Pelodiscus sinensis: one gene and its partner. The protein of the gene in region 2 binds, or shares a complex with, the protein of the main gene of each other region. Links are inferred from orthologs where the notes say so. Each region holds a gene or a part of one and is shown on either strand. Other genes may lie near its edges. The genes, in order: YKT6 and PTAR1.

Region 1 (7,931 bases), on a different chromosome or scaffold from region 2:
CCTGTAGTTTGAGCCACCTCTTTACCTGAATAGGTCAGAACTAGGGGAGATAAAAGCATGACTTCCTGCCGGGGATTCTACTAGTGTTGATCAATTTATACTGAGGCGACTGTATTTTTTGAAAATAAGAAGAAACTAATTTTCTTTAAATTCTGATAAGCAGCCTGATGTAGAATGCAGTAATAATTACGGACCAATTGTATGATCTGTGACATTTTCCTGCACCTGTGATTTTCTTTCATTTCTGATGTTAAAGTCTTTTTGTAAAATTGCTTTAACAACTTTATTTCAGTTAGCTAACTGTAGTTTCCCCTTGTGCAGACTGGCCCAGCATCAGCTCTCATACATGCAGGCCTTCTGCTCATACAAAACAGGGAAATGGGCATAGGTAAAAAATATAGCAGGTGCACAGAAGTATGTTTGTTTCATGCTTATCTTTTAAAAAAGTCCCCTAGGACAATCAACCATCAAGTGAAAGCCCCAGCAGTGTAAGTGGCAAGCAATAGCTAAGCTTCAAAACTCACCTATTTTTGCTGTAACCTTGGCAAAGGAAGTAAAAATCTCTAATTGTGGTATTTCCCTGACCCCGACCCCTCCCTCATACACACATCAGAATGACAGAGAAGAACATTTACTAATGCTTTAAAAGTCACTGTTGGACGCACAGCAAGCATGGAACATTTCAGTGCAGAAGGCAAATATTTCTTAAAATCATGAGCCTTTGAAACCAGGAGGGTAGAAGGGAAGTTGTATTGCAGTTAGGCACTTGCTAATACAACTACTTCTTTCTAAAAGCTTTATGGGTATTACCCCATCTTAATGGTTAGGGGGCTGTGCTCGTAGTGCGGCAAGGCTAACTGATGTAAGGACTATGTGGGCAACTCTTCTGCAAGCACAGATCACACCTTAGCACTGAGAGAGCTGTGACTCACCAGGATGACAAGAAGCTGAGATTAGCATTTAGCTTTGTACACTCTGGCCTGACCTGTCAGCAGCATTCTCTGCACAACCACTCACCCTAAGCAAAGGGGACATACCAGGCATAGTATGTTATCACAAGTGGGAAGATACTATTGCTAAATACAAATACATGGATCACTACAGCTGTCACAGAAACCTAGCTGGATTGGTAAAGCAAAACCCACAAGTCATCTCCTATTTGTTTTTCAGGTCTCTGCATGAGCTGAGATGCTTGCATGCCTAACAGATCTTTTCACATCATCTACTGTATGGATTTCAGTACACATAAATACACAATCTCTTGTTTTGTATAACTCACTACACCAGCCTTACAAAAGTTCCAGCTCAGGCACGGATCTATTCCCAGATCTTTTGCTGTGATAATATTTATCTTATTTATTTAAGTTAAAAGGTCACTCGGATGCTGGAAAGCTGTATTACAGGACTGAAAATTCAATGAGGCTTTATTCTACCCATCTTAGGTACTTCTATGGGCCCCATTACTGTAGTATTTGTACACCAGAATACCTTATAAATACTTAATTAGCCATTGGGTGAGAAAAAGAGACTCTTCGCATCTCAATGCTTAGAACAACCACTGGGGAGGCAAGAAATCTGGGATGCAGATCCCCTGCTCCAATCGCTCTTTCACTATTTAGCCACAGAAAAACAGCTGTCTCAACCAGAAGGCCTGAGGGAGCTCCACAGCAGCCCAGCTCAGCGATTATAGCACCCTCCTAAGAAGAGGGAAGCCTCTGTTCAAATCCCTTTTCTTCATCTGACAGAGGGGACTGAAATCAGGACTCCCAAACCTCGAGTGCTCTGACCACTGGGCCAATTGTATAAGGTGGGTGATATGAAGATCACCTCCTCCTCTTTTCAGGTGGGTGGGATTTTGAATGGGATCTAATATAATAGGCAGACTCTGAGTATGCTTACTAGATTGGTTCCTGTACTCAAGATAGATGTTCATTTGCTTGTTTGTCCCCAGTCAGTGAAACCAAAACTGAGATTTAGGCAACCAAGACCTTTGTGAATCCACCTAAGGGACTTGCCTGGGGTCAATCTGTGGCAGAGCAGGGAGTTGAATCCTTGTCTCCCAAACCAGCCCACCAAGCCCAGGCCGCCCTTATTGTGCTGTTTGTCCCAGGCAGGGGATGGAATCCCCCAGGCCGGTGCCAACACCCCAGGGACCCACCTGGTTTTCTGGAAGAAGCTGAATGAGGACAGGTCGTAGGCGGCTTTCAGCAAGTGCACTTTGGGGTCGCCTTTGTAAAGGACACTTAGGCTGTAAAGCTTCATCCTGGCGCCTCCCAGCCGCCGCCTGAGCGAGAGGGGCAGGAAGGAGTCAGGGCTGGGACAAGAGACAAGATCCGACCCCTCCTTCCACCTCCCCAGCCCCTGCCCGAACCCCCCCCCAGCCCCATCGCTCCCTCTGCCCACAAGAGAACAGGGCTGGGCTGCAGCCCCTCCCCCCGCACAGCCTCCCCCCCCCCCCGCATTCCCTTCCCCCTGCAGAGCCACCCCCCCACACAACTCCCTCGTTCCCACCCCTCCCCCAGACAGCTCCCAACCGCCCCCCCCGCGCAACTCCCTCGTTCCCAACCCTCCCCCAGACAGCTCCCAACCGCCCCCCCCGCGCAACTCCCTCGTTCCCACCCCTCCCCCAGACAGCTCCCAACCGCCCCCCCCCGCGCAACTCCCTCGTTCCCACCCCTCCCCCAGACAGCTCCCAACCGCCCCCCCGCGCAACTCCCTCGTTCCCACCCCTCCCCCAGACAGCTCCCAACCGCCCTCCCCGCGCAACTCCCTCGTTCCCACCCCTCCCCCCAGACAGCTCCCAACCGCCGCCCCCCCGCAACTCCCTCGTTCCCACCCCTCCCCAGATAGCTCCCAACCGCCCCCCCCGCACAACTCCCTCGTTCCCACCCCTCCCCCAGACAGCTCCCAACCGCCCCCCCCGCGCAACTCCCTCGTTCCCACCCCTCCCTCCAGACAGCTCCCCAACCGCCCCCCCGGCACAACTCCCTCGTTCCCACCCCTCCCCCCAGACAGCTCCCCAACCGCCCCCCCCCGCGGCCGCCTCAGCGCTCGTTCGCGCGAACGGGGGGAGGGGGGAGGCCGGTTACCGAGCGGGTCCCGCCTCCCTCCTGCGGCTGCGGCGGTTGCGAAGACTGACGGGGCGGGCGGCGCCGGTTGGAAGGAGCCGCCGACCCGGAAACAAAACGCAGCGGCCGGAAGTCCCCGCTGCGGATCGGTGCCACGGGGCGCTGTGGCACTGCGCATGCGCTCGCCTGCTCCGGGACCCAGCCACTGAGCGTCCGCCTGACAGGGCCGTTTCGCACCGCCCCCACGGGCCGGACAGCCAATCAGCATCGCCCTGACAGGGGCCTCTCCTCCACCCCACCTCCCCGGGCCGGGTCGGGGGGGGCCATTCCCCAGGGGGCGGGGCAGCTTCTGGGGGGGGCCGTTCCCCAGGGGGCGGGGCAGGTTCGGGAGGCCGTTCCCCAGGGGGCGGGGCAGCTTCTGGGGGGCCGTTCCCCAGGGGGCGGGGCAGCTTCTGGGGGGGGCCGTTCCCCAGGGGGCGGGGCAGGTTCGGGAGGACGTTCCCCAGGGGGCGGGGCAGGTTCAGGGGGCGGGGCAGCTTCTGGGGGGCCGTTCCCCAGGGGGCGGGGCAGGTTTGGGGGGGGCCGTTCCCCAGGGGGCGGGGCAGGTTCAGGGGGCGGGGCAGTTCCCCAGGGGCGGGGCAGCTTCTGGGGGGCCGTTCCCCAGGGGGCGGGGCAGGTTTGGGGGGGCCGTTCCCCAGGGGGCGGGGCAGGTTGGGGGGGCCGTTCCCCGGGGGGGGCAGTCTCCCAGGGGGTGGGGCAGGTTCAGGGGGCGGGGCAGTTCCCCAGGGGGCGGGGCAGGTTGGGGAGGCAGTTCCGGGGGGGGGGGCAGTTCTCCAGGGGGCGGGGCAGGTTGGGGAGGCAGTTCCGGGGGGGGGGGGCAGTCCCCCAGGGGGTGGGGCAGTTCCCCAGGGAATGAGGCAGATTCTGGGGAGCTGACCCAGCGTGCGCACACATACACGTACATTCTCTTTCTTTGCAGCCAGAGGCCTGGCTCGCTCCCAGATTTTGTACACATGCGGTGCCCCCCCGGGGTAGGTGATCAGGTGTGCAGGCGCCCGAGCCTGTGTGGTAGAGTTAAGGTATGCCCCCTATGGGGTGAGCACCACTAACCTGGAGTCCGCCCTGCCTTACCAGGGTGAGCATTAGGGATGGAAAATCCTGTTTAAAATGTTAACTGGTTAAATGTATAATATTTAATTGGTTAAATTGCCCGTGGTTTGCTGCGGGAGGAAGCTGTTCCAGCCAGGCCGGGTGCCAGTTAATCCATTACCCTGGTAAGCACACGGGGAAGGCAATGCTTACCCGGTAATCAATTACCCCTTTACATCCCTAGTGAGCATCAGCATGCCAGGGTTGGCCCTGCTACATGGGAATCGGCCCTACTAGCAAGCACCAATGCATCAGCATGGGCCCTGCTTTATGGGGTCAGCACCTATAGTTCAGGATCCCACGGGAAGGCAATCTAAGGGGAAAAGCTGTTCAGGAGAGTTGACAGTTTTTCAGAGATGTTATTAAGGGCATGGGAGCAAACTGTGTAGGACTGATAAGTGCAGTGTGGCAAGAGGCCACCCTGGCTTAACCAGGAGATCTTCAATGATCTGAAACTCAGAAAAGAGTCATACAAAAGTAGAAACCAGGTCACATGAAAAAGGATGAATATAAGCAAATAACACATATATATAAGGGTGAAAGGCCAAGGCACTAAGCAAGATTAAACTAGTCAGAAATGTAAAGAGACCAGTCTACAAATACATTAGAAGTAAGAGGGAGGCCAAGGACAGATTATGTCCCTTACTCAATGGGGTAGGAAGAACAAAATGTTTAGTAGCAATTGAACATCTATCTTAATGTCAATGAAAATTAAGTAGGATCAGGGCTAAAATAGGGAGAAAATGTTAGATATTGCATAGATAAGTTAGACGATTTCAAGTCACCAGGGCCTGATGAAATACATCAGGAGATATCTGAGCCATTAGCAGTTATCTTCAAAAGCTCATGAAAGACAGGTGAAATTCCAGGACTGAAAACGACAAAAATAGCACCCCTCTGTAAAAAAGGGAAGACGGCCAACACAGGGAATTCCAGATCGCTACTGAGTAAACAATAAAGCCCTCAAGTTGCAGACATCTGAAAGATAATAAGGTGATAAGTAACCGCATGGATTTATAATGAACAAACCATGTCAAACCAACGTAGTAGCTTGCTTTGACAGAGTAACCAGCCTTGTGATGGGGGAATGATAGCTGTGGCACATCTTGACTTAAGTAAAGCTTTTGATAATCTTTCACACGGCCTCATAAGCAAACTAGGGAAATCCAATCTTGCCTTAGCTACTATAAGGTGAGTGCAGAACTAGCTGGAAAACTATTTCCCGAAAAAACTTAAAAAACAACAAAGAGTCTAGTAGCACCTTAAAGTCTAACAAAACGTGTTGATGGTATCATGAGCTTTCATGGGCAAAACCTATTTCTTCAGTTGACTGGAGTATAGTAAGTCCAGATCCAAGAATAAATAAGGAAAGGAGGGAGGGAGTGGGAAGAAGGAAAAAGGGGAGGAGAGGAAGAAGAAAAGAGACAATGAGTAGATAGTTCAGATAGTTACAAGAAGCTGTTAAGACCCAACCAGGAGGGGAGTTACAGCAAGGGAGGTTAACAGCCAAGGTGGAAAGGCTGGTCCCACAATGATCAGTGCTGGGTCCAGTTCTGTGCAGCGCCTTCATCAATGATTAGAGCAGGGGTGGCCGACCTAAATCTGAGAAGGAGCCAGAATTGGCCAATGCACCTTGCCAAAGAGCAACAGCAGCATGTCACCAGCCCTGCTCATCTCCCCACCACCACCCGCAGCACATCCAGCCCACCAGCAGCCCCACGGGTCAGTGCTGCCTCCTCCTTTTCCTCCCGCCCACTGGGATCAGCTCTGTCTCGGTGGGAGACACTGGAGGGGGAAGCAGGCTCGGTGGGTGTGACAGGCTCGGTGGAGAGGGTGGGAAGTGGCAGGATCCTAAGGGAAGGGCCTTGGGCAGAGCTGGGGGTTGGGCAGTGAGGACCCTCCTGGCCCAGTGGAAAGTTGGCACCTGTAGCTCCAGCCCTGGATTTGGTACCTATGCAAGGAGCCGCATATTAACTTCTGAAGAGCCACCCCTGATTCAGAGAATGGCAAAGAGACTGCACTTAACCCAGTTTGTGGACGATACCAAGCTGGGAGGGGTTGCAGGTGCTTTGGCGGACAGGGTTAAAATTCAAAACGATTTGGACAAATTGGAGACGTGAGCTGAAGTCAATTGGAGGACATTCAATAAGGACAAATGCAAAGCACGCCACTTAGGAAGGAGCCGCGATCTGCACACACGCAGAATGGGAAGTGGCTGCCCAGGAAGGAGCACGGGGAAGAGATAACAAGCTAGATGTCAGCAGTGTAACACTGCTGCCACACAATCATTCTGGGATGTATTAGCAGGAGTGTTGTAAACAAGGCGCAAGAGGTAATTGTTCCGCTCCATTATGTGCTAAGTAGGCGTTAACTGGCGCATCCTGTCCCATTCTGGATGCCACATTTCAGACAAGTTGTGATCAAATTGGGGAATGTCCAGAAAAGAGCAACAAAAATTAGTAATGCTGCATTGGCAAAGTGGGCCCCAGCCCAGAAAAAGCTTTTGCCCAAATGAAACTGAGTCTCTAAGGTGTCACTCATTGTTTTTGCTGAAACAGACTAACATGGCTACCCCACTGAAAATGATTAATGGTCTCGAACAGGGGTTCCCAAACTTTTTGACATGGGGACCAGTAAATCCATTCACAAGCTTTTGGAGGACCGATAACATTCATTTGCATACTTGCATATTCATTAAGTAATGGTGAATATTCAAATAAGTGGTTTCTGGTCCTCCCAAAGCCCCCAGTGCCAGCTTTAGCAAAGCTTTTGATACAGTCACCCACAATATTCTTGCCAGCAAGTTAAGGGAATATGGATTGGATAAATGGACTGTGAGATGGATAGAAAGCTGGCTAGACCAGAGTTTCCCAAACTTTTTACTTTAGTTGGAACCCATTGTTTTTCAGTACTGTTTTTTGCAGCCCAATAATATAAACGCATATAAAAAGAATGAAAAATGAATACATTTTCAGTGTTTCACCCAGCTGCATCCTCCGCCCAGCCTGGGCCAGGGCCTGGGGGACCTGGTGCCACATGGGCACTCCAGGAGGCGGGGGCAGGAGCAGATTGGGGGTAGGGTATCTGGCTAGGAGGGAGGGTGCAAGGAGGGGTAGGGTTGCCAAGTGTCCAGTTTTGTACCAGACAATCCGGTATTTGAGGCTTCTGTCTGGGAAACAAATTGAGAAAATACCAGACATATAAAATGTCCTGTATTTTCTAATTAGGTAAGTTTTATTATTATTAGGTGTATCAGTCCGTAGCTGCGAATTGCCTGGCTGGTAGATGTGCTCATGCTGCGAGTGTGTCTGCCAGCCAGGCAGTTCACAGCTTCTCGAGGGAGGGTATGGTGGGGAAGGGGGCAAAATGGAATCCCCGGGGCCGGACTCACTCGTGTGCCCAGGTCTGCATGTGCCCGGTTCAGTCCCGCTTCCCGCCAGCTGATTTGCTCCCCCCCCCCCCCCCCCGCCAGTTTCTCCTCCTGAACTAGCCCCGCTGCCCCTGTCCAGCCCTGCTTCCGGTGGCTGGTTCTACAGTCCTCCTCCCGATCTCCCCTGGCCAGCCACCCTGTCCCCCGTCCAGCCCTGCTTCCACTGCCCGCCCGCCCCGATCTCCGCCGGACAGCCCCGCTGCCCCCAACCTTGCTTCCGCCCGCCGGCCACCTCCCCCCGATCTCCGCCGGACAGCCCCGCTGCCCCCAACCTTGCTTCCGCC
Region 2 (8,199 bases):
ATGGAGCAGATTGCTTCAGGAGCTTGTGGAAGCTTCTTCACTGGAGAATTTCAAAAGGAGGCTAGATTACCATCTGCCTTGGATGGTTTAGACCAGTGATCCCCAAACTTTTTATCTTGCACCCCTCTTATCCTGTGCATGCCCCCTTCCACCACAAAGCCAGGCTGCAGCTCCAGGAGGGAGGATGAAGACAGGGAGAAGGGAATTGAGGCTGGGAGCTGAGGCCAGCCGCAGCCGCAGCTGGCAGGACCCCAGATGCAAAGACATATCTGAGGCCCGAGCCAGGAGTGTGGCAACGCTCTTGGCCCACTCCCTATAGGGGCTGGTCTGGGTCTCAGCCTCACCTCCCCAAATGATACTCTTTGCTCCCCTATGGAGGCATATCCCACTGAGTGAAGACCTCTGATTAAAAAACACAATACATTCTGCATATTGGTAGGGGGTTAGACTAGCTGATCCTTGCAGTCCCTTCCAACCTTCAAATTTGAATTAAACTAGACAAGACAAGCAAAAAAACCCATTACTTTACCATTTAATCGGTGGGGAACTCAGACAAAGTAACTGAGTTAATGGAGGTCGCATAAGCAGTCTGTGGCAAAGCCACAGATTTCCTTTATCCCCATCCAGTGCATGACCACAAGCCAAATACTGCAAATGAATTTTGCCTAGAAAAAAGTGCTCAAGATTTGTTTAACATCATATTCACAAAACCAAAACAGGTAAGTAGAATTAGGACAAGGATAGTGCTCAACTCTCTGGCACAGAAAAGGTATTCCTCTTCACTCGACATCAGCAAGCTTGCTGAACTAGACAGGGTGTCTGTTTGTAACAGCTAAGGCCCCAGTCTTGCAAACACTTATGTGTTTGCATAATTTTGCTAATGCAACCCCATTAGGCTTGAGTCATATTATACACAAATTTAAGTGTTCATGTGTCTGGTGAGAAAAATATTTTGCAATAAATTTTACAAGTTTTATAGATATTCAAAAACAGGACACAGTATGCTGAGACAGCTTCATTTTCTTTACTGAAATGTGACTCAGCAGGACAAGTGAACATGAGTCTTAGGTTAGATTTTTATTTACAAAATAAATAAATGTTTTTCTAAAAAAATAAAATAAAATACTAATATCCCCTTTGAATTAATTTAAATGCAACATGAAAGACAACAACCCAGCCTAGACTTTTACTTGTTGTTGTATTTCTGTGAGCATAGTGCCCAATAACCTTACCTGAATTCTCTTAGGGGTGGGTGTTGGCCCACCCAGAACGAAGGGCCCATCCATGCAAATGTGTAAGGATCAAAAGTTCTAAACAAGGGACCAGATGGATATACTTTTGAAGGACAATGGTGGACAGTGCCCAAAGGAACTCTGAATGTGTGAAAAGGGCATGGAAAGAAAGAAAAAAACCCAGAGTCTCTGATCACCCTGTTTAGCATCAGCCATCCATTAATCGGGTCTTATCTTGGACAGTGCCAAGGCTAAAAGGGAGGTCTTATGACTTGGTGGGGTCATGGATGGAGTATACAAGGATGAAGAAAACTGCAGCCAGAATCTCAGAAGGAAATTCTGGAGGAGTCAGAAAAGGTGCTGCAACTTAGCAGATTGAAGGTAGGCATATGCCAGGGTCATCTCCTCACTGCAGAAGAGAAACACAGTGGGGAATCTGCAAAGCACATCAGCCATATGCCCATGTTCATCTTAAGGAGCACAGCTTGACAATCTTGGACATCATCATCTAATAAACCATCTTGTTAGTCTTTCAAGTGCTACATAGTCCTGTATTTTGTTTCAGCTACACCAGACTAACACGGATACATTTCTATCACTATTGGACACAGAAGTCTCTTGATTATCCACAGAACAGCTGTAACAGCAGCAGCAGCTTTCTTGCACTGCACTACCAATAGCTATCTAACTTGACCTGCAGGGCCTACACAAGCACACTATGGTAGGTCAGTCTCAAAAGCACACAGACTTTTACATCTAACCTATTTTTTCCATGAAGGAAGATGGCAACAGCCACACATTCTTAGTGAATAAGTGGTTGAGTCCGCTACCACTGAAATTAAAGGGAACTTTGACAGAACAGAATGTGAAAAGAAGCAGAAGTCTTTCTACAGGTCACACACAGACATTTACTGTTTACAGTGTATTATGCCTCGTAACCCTAAAGGGAAATTTTATGGCTAAATCTAATTTTAAAAAGGCTTCTTTCTGACTATATCCATATGTTGTAGTTTAAAGTTTGGCTACCTGCCAAACTGCTAGCCACATTTATGTAATCCTAAGGATTTCTGTCACATAGAAGAGAGGTATTGTAGCTGTGATAGTTCCCAGGAAATTGAAGAGACAAGGAGCGTGAGGTAGCATCATTTACTGAACCACTTTATGTTGGCAGAAGAGTCTAGCTTTTGAGCTACACAGAACTTTTCTGTCCCAATTCCTGTATTAACTAGGGATGTGAAAGGTTTAACAGGTGAGGCTTACAAGTTAAGGTTAACAGGTGAGGGATGGAGGGCGGTTCTGGCCCAGAACAGCTCCCTGCTCACACCCCATTTAATCAGTTAACTGCTTAAACATTGTTTAACGGGTTAACCAATTAAACAGGATTTTACATCCCTTCTATAAATGCTAGGGACAGACCTCTGAGCCATGTAGAGTCCACTGGGGCCTTAAGAAGGCACTGTTATTTCAAAATTTAGATTTCTTTAATATTGAAAGGAACGTTTCCATTCATTTACCAAAAATACACTTGAAGCCTGTTTTTTCCTTAGTACACAAATACACACACATTGCACTACAATATGCAGTACCCAGGTGACATAATCCACTAGATTTTGCCAAATCAAAGAGATTAAAAAACAACAATAGGAAGAGCTATGATTTTTGTATTGTGTTTAGCATCATGGGATGCAAGTGCCACAAAAATGTTTGCAGAGCAAGGGCTGCAGGCTGCGCCGCATCTCTCCATCGGAGGATACAGATTTGGTTTTTAATCATCATCTTCTGTCCTCCCCTCTTCAAGCGGCCACATGCTCTGCTGGGGGCTGGTGCCATGATTCTCTCCTATTCAAGGTGAGCAATCAGATAAACAAAAGCCAAAAAGCATAGAGGGGCAGAAATGAGATTCACAGTTATTCACAGTATTGAGAGTGGTTTTGAGTTTAGGAACGCCAACAGAATCAAAACTAGTGTCCCTCTTGCCCACCTCACTTCTGATACCTGCGAAAGAAGTTAACCCAATTCAGGCCCAGCGCCTAGGGGAGCTCACAGAGCCAGAGGCCAGCCACAGCTGACTTCCTGTGTGCGACCTTGGGCGAGACAGTCGAGAGAGGAGGGCTCCCGGAGCCCACTTCCCGCAGCTGCCATGCCTGGTCACCTCCCGGAGGCCGGGCGTTAGCAGGGGGGGGGGGGGGGGTGTCTGTGAAGCGCTCGCAGAGATGCTGGAGAAGGGAAAGTCTCGCGGGCTGGTTGCGCCGGAGGGTGCTTGTCCTACTCCCGGCCGCGGGGCTGGCGAGAGGGGCCAGTCGCCGTCCCCAGCCAGGGCAGCAGCGGCCCCAGTGATGAGGATGCTGCCTTGCCCCGGACGGGACGAGCGGAGACCAAGTCGGCGCCGGGGTCTCCGCCTGGCCCCGCCGGAGCTGGGCCGCGTCAGCCGCCGCCCGGCCAACCCGCCCGCCCGCCGCACTCACATGTGGGGGTTCCGCTTGAAGGCGTTGTGCAGGTCCTTCACCACCCGCTGCACCAGCACCGCCACCTCCTCCGGGGACTCGGCCATCTTCGGCCGCCGCGCCGCTGAGCCAGGCTGGGCTAAAGCGCTTCCGGGTCGGCGGAGGGACGAGCCGCTCCCTGGCAACGGCGGCTCACCCCGGCCCGCCCACCCACAGCGGGGCAAGCGGCGGCGGAACCCGGGCGGCAGCGGGACAGGCGGACGCGCCGCACTCAGCCAGGTAACCGGGCGCGGTGCCCCAGCTCCGCCCTTCTGCCCTGCGCGCGCCAACGGCCGCACTCGGAGCAACTGGGCTGGGTTCTTCCGCCAACCGCCCTGTGCCTGGGCCCCTGGGGCCTCCCCCCACCCCGGGCTGTGGCTGGCGTGGAGCTCGCCCTTGCACCAGCCCTAGGCAGAGCATGTGGCGGCTCGGCGCGGGCAGGGCCGGGAATGACAATTAAAACCCAAGTCCCCTGTGTCTCCCCGATGGAGGGAGGCGGCGCAGCCTGCGGCCCCTGCTCTGCAAACTCTCACGGGGTTATTGCTGCAAACATGAGTAGTCCCATTTAAGCCACTGGGATAACTCTGGTGGGTGAAGTGATGTGGACGACCCCGGCTACTCCTCTGAGTCTTGTGGGTGACGTTAAGGAGCACAGGCATAAGCGTTTGCAGAGCTTCTGCTTCTTGTAATAATACATGCTTGCTTGCTTAATTAATTGACACACAGGCTTGTGATTTGGGGTCTTCTTTCCCATGCTGCTTAAAGGAGATTTAAGGGGAATCTTATACCATCAGATATCAGAGGGGTAGCCGTGTTAGTCTGAATCTGCAAAAGCGACGAAGAGTCCTGTGGCACCTTATAGACTAACTGAAGTGTAGGAGCATAAGCTTTCGTGGGCAAAGACCCACTTCATCAGATGCATGGCATCAGAGAATATCCTCTGAGTATACCATCAGAGAATATCCTCCTCCCTAAAGAGAGATGAGACCCCCCCCCCCTTTAAAAAAGTCCTTACAATTGGTTCAAAATATAACTTGGCTGGTCTGTCAACTTTGTTGACTTCAAATGTTGTCCCTGATTATGGTTATATTTGAGAAGTCTTTTAAATAAACAGCTGGTCTCAAACTGTGGGCTGGACTTCAAAGTGGATTGCCACCCTGTTTTAAATGGGTCACTGGGGCTGGCCTGAGACTTGCTGGGACCAAAGCCTACTCCCACTGCCCAAGACTGAAAGTTCTTTAGCCCCAAGGGAGGTGGCAGTGCTGGTGTAGCAGATGACGAAGGACCTGCACAATGTCTTCAAGAATTAGGGGTTACCAAATGAAATTAATAGGGTTAAAACAAGCAAAAGGAAGTATTTCTGCACATCTCACAGTCAACCCATGGAACTGCTTGCTAGAAGATGTTGTGAAGACCAGAACTTTAACAGGGTTCAAAAAAGAGCTAGATAATTTCATGGAGGTTAGGTCCAGCAATACTGATCAGCCACGATGGGTAGGAATGGTGACCCTAATCCAGGGCCAGCCCACAACATTTTGGCACCTGAGGCAGGGAGCTCAAATGATGCCCCATGCCACTTTTTCTCCTGCCTGTCTGTTATGTCTCTTGTGCCCTCCTTCCTCCATCGCAGCACTCCACCATCTCTGTGCATCTAGAGCAGAGAGAATACATATGCACCAGCAGCAGATACAATTTTCTACACTCTGGGTCTTAGTGGCGCCCTTCCCCCCCTCCTCCTGCAAAGTCTGGCACCTGAGGTGGCCTCCTCAGTTCGCCTCATGGTAAGGCCAGCCCTGCCCTAATCTCTGTTTTTCAGAGGCTGGAAATGGATGACAGGAAAAGGATTACTTGATAATTCCCTGTTTTATTCTATGTGGGCCTTTGGTTTGACCCAGTATGGCCATTCTTATGTTCCCTCTGCCCAGGGCAGTGGGATCAGGCTTGGCTTTGGCTGGGCAATGGGGTGCAGTCAGGATCAGGTTTTGGTTGCCTCTTCTGGGGTCATGTAGTAATTTTTGTTGTCAAAAGGGTGTTGCAGTGCACCCAATTTGAGAACCACTGAGCTTGATAAATCGGTCACTTAAAAATCTTACTTTGGATACCAAATAGATATCAAATTCTTTTTGTAAGCTTTCTGTTTGTTTTCTAATGTTTGACAGTAAAGTTCATATTCCTATTTTTTTCGTAACTTGGAAAATATGAAACATTTTATTGAGATGTAATACAAACAAATGAGTGCCTTTTATTTATGCCTCAGCGGTCTTTAGTGATAGAAACTAGTGGACTACATATTATGTGATTTTGTGTCAACAGCTTATATTGGCATTACATAAAAAACAACAAATAGACTAGTAGCACCTTAAAGACTAACAAAACATGTAGTCATGAGCTTTCGTGGGCACAACCCACTTCTTCAGGTGACTGGAGTATTAGAAGTCCAGATCCAAGAATAAATAAGGAAAGGGGCGGGGAGAGAAAAAAGGAGGGGAAAGGAGAAAAAAATAAAAGGAGAGAGACAGAGAGTAGATGGTTCAAATAGTTACAACAGGCTGATAAGAACAATTAGAACTTCCGTTGGTTGGTAGGTTAAGTCATACGATGTGGAAGGTAGTGTGCAAGCCAGCCGATATCCTTGTTCATACCATTTGCATAAGAATTAAACTTGTAAATGAAGTTAAGTTCCAATCTTTCTCTGTGTATTTGGCTTGTGGAATTGGCCTGAAACAACATGGTGACTTGGAGATCCATTAATGAGTGTTCAGGTAGATTAAAGTGTTCTCCAACAGGTTTTTTGTGTATTGCCTTTTGGGATATCTGATTTGTGTCCAATAATTCTTTCTCATAGAGAAAGAATTTGAATGTAAATTCCACAAGCCAGATGTTTAAAATTAAATGTTATGAATAAATTAAACATTTAGTCTTCTTTCTTAGTTAAAAGCTTGAAATGTCGTCTTCGTCCTCTTCATCCTCACCATCACCACCTCCAAGACGACCTGGTAGACCCACCATATATTCCCCATCAGAAAAAAAGAGGAGGAGAAAGAGTCTTGAGAGAAAAAGGGCTCAATCAAGGATATGTATAAGAGAACAAATAGGAAGATGGATGTCACTTAGGGAAACGCTTAATGTCTTCTCACATGCTGAAGTTGCCAAGTTTTTACTGGATTTGTAAGTAATATATCTAATATATATCAAATATGTTTATCTAAAGAGAAATGTGAATTTTATTCTGATTGGTTTCTTTCATCTTACTTTTTAATATAGATATGACAGTTATGAAAATCAAGATGTTGTGTGCAAGGAATCAGAAGGAAAAATACAGGAAGTAGATGGAAACACAACATTAAACATAGAAGAGGATGTGCCAGAGACCTCTTTAACAGCAAGTACTGAAAGGTAACTTGAAATCTTTTAAATTTTTTTTTCTCTCAGCTTTTTCCATGAAATTGTGTAAAAATTAGGAATGTGCAAGGTTAACCAGTAAGCATCAGCCTAAATGGGTGATGCTTACTGATTCCGTTTAACTGGTAATCGGTGGGGGATGGAGCTCCTCCCTGCTTGCTGCAAGCAGGGGACTCCTCCAGCCCTGTAGGAAGCCTGCTGTGAACAGGGGCTCCTCTCATCCGAAGCAGCCTCTGTCTCCAGGGAGCCTGCTCTGCCGTGGATAGGGTCTGCTCTTGTGAGTGCTGAGATCTGGTAGCCAGCCCCCAGCGTAGTGATGGGGACAGGAGCCCTGTGGACTGGGGGCTGCTCCAGCAGAGCTGTAGTGGTCCACAACCAGGATCTCACGTTAGTCGGTTAAGCAGTTAAATGTTAGGTTAATCTAACATTTAACTTGCTAACTGATTAACCGGGATTTTACATCCCTAGTAAAAATTTAAAAAAAAAAAATCAATGAAATGACTCTGTCATGTGATCATTCCTCTGCACCAAAGGTGGGCAAAGACCTGCCTGGGTGCTGGATCCGGTATGTCAGGATTAGCCCTGGTGTGTATTTACCTGTGCCTCCACAGGCACGGCAACTGCAGTTCCTATTCGCCATTTCCAGCTAATGGGAGCTGAGGGAAGCAGTATCCTGGTCCATGCTTCTTCCCACAGTTCTGATTGACTGGAAATGGCAATCTGCAACCAACAGGAGCTGCAATTGCTAGTACCTACTGGGGTGCAGGTAAATATTGTAGAAGCTATTTTATGTTTAGCTAGAAGCCATCTTGTATAACAGAAACCATTTCAGCTTTTTGTCTTTGCACGTAGGCCAGAGTGAACTTTCTATCACCCCATGCGCCAGGCGAAGACAGATGTGCTATTGGAATGTGTTAATTAGGCTGATTCAGAGAGGAGAGGTACTCCCTCGTACCTGTCCGCCATCTTGTTGATAAGGCTTTGTTTTTTCCTAGTTTAATTGATTATTTCTGTAATTGGATGCCCTGACGTCAGACTGTTTGGTTAAGGGTATAAAGATACTAGGATTGATTGTATTAAGC

The links.
Region 1: the proteins of PTAR1 (region 2) and YKT6 are in contact, whole or in part, in a crystal structure (PDB 6J7F), measured with the Homo sapiens proteins. The link is inferred for Pelodiscus sinensis from reciprocal best matches to the Homo sapiens genes PTAR1 and YKT6. Residues at the interface, in NP_001093136.1 of Homo sapiens: Glu31, Gly33, Leu34, Ile35, Pro36, Val48, Val50, Glu51, Lys53, Leu54, Gly55, Ser58, Lys135, Tyr191, His225, Ser228, Met229, His230, Val231, Ser232, Asp233, Phe298, Asp301, Leu302, Ser305, Tyr306, His309; in NP_006546.1 of Homo sapiens: Met1, Ser29, Phe30, Phe31, Asn83, Glu84, Pro86, Gln131, Asn132, Pro133, Arg134, Gln180, Phe184, Arg189, Ser193.

The regions. Positions count from the first base shown.
Region 1 is NC_134738.1:4,525,347-4,533,277, reverse strand, and holds the start of YKT6 (synaptobrevin homolog YKT6), read right to left. Parts: upstream 3,249-7,931; 5' UTR 3,090-3,248; intron 2,285-3,089; 5' UTR 2,263-2,284; coding exon 2,159-2,262; intron 1-2,158. UniProt on the Homo sapiens protein: Vesicular soluble NSF attachment protein receptor (v-SNARE) mediating vesicle docking and fusion to a specific acceptor cellular compartment. Functions in endoplasmic reticulum to Golgi transport; as part of a SNARE complex composed of GOSR1, GOSR2 and STX5.
Region 2 is NC_134716.1:32,582,401-32,590,599, forward strand, and holds the start of PTAR1 (protein prenyltransferase alpha subunit repeat-containing protein 1), read right to left. Parts: upstream 3,831-8,199; 5' UTR 3,784-3,830; coding exon 3,698-3,783; intron 1-3,697. Other genes in the region: uncharacterized protein LOC102457766, read left to right, coding at 6,660-6,883, 6,980-7,111.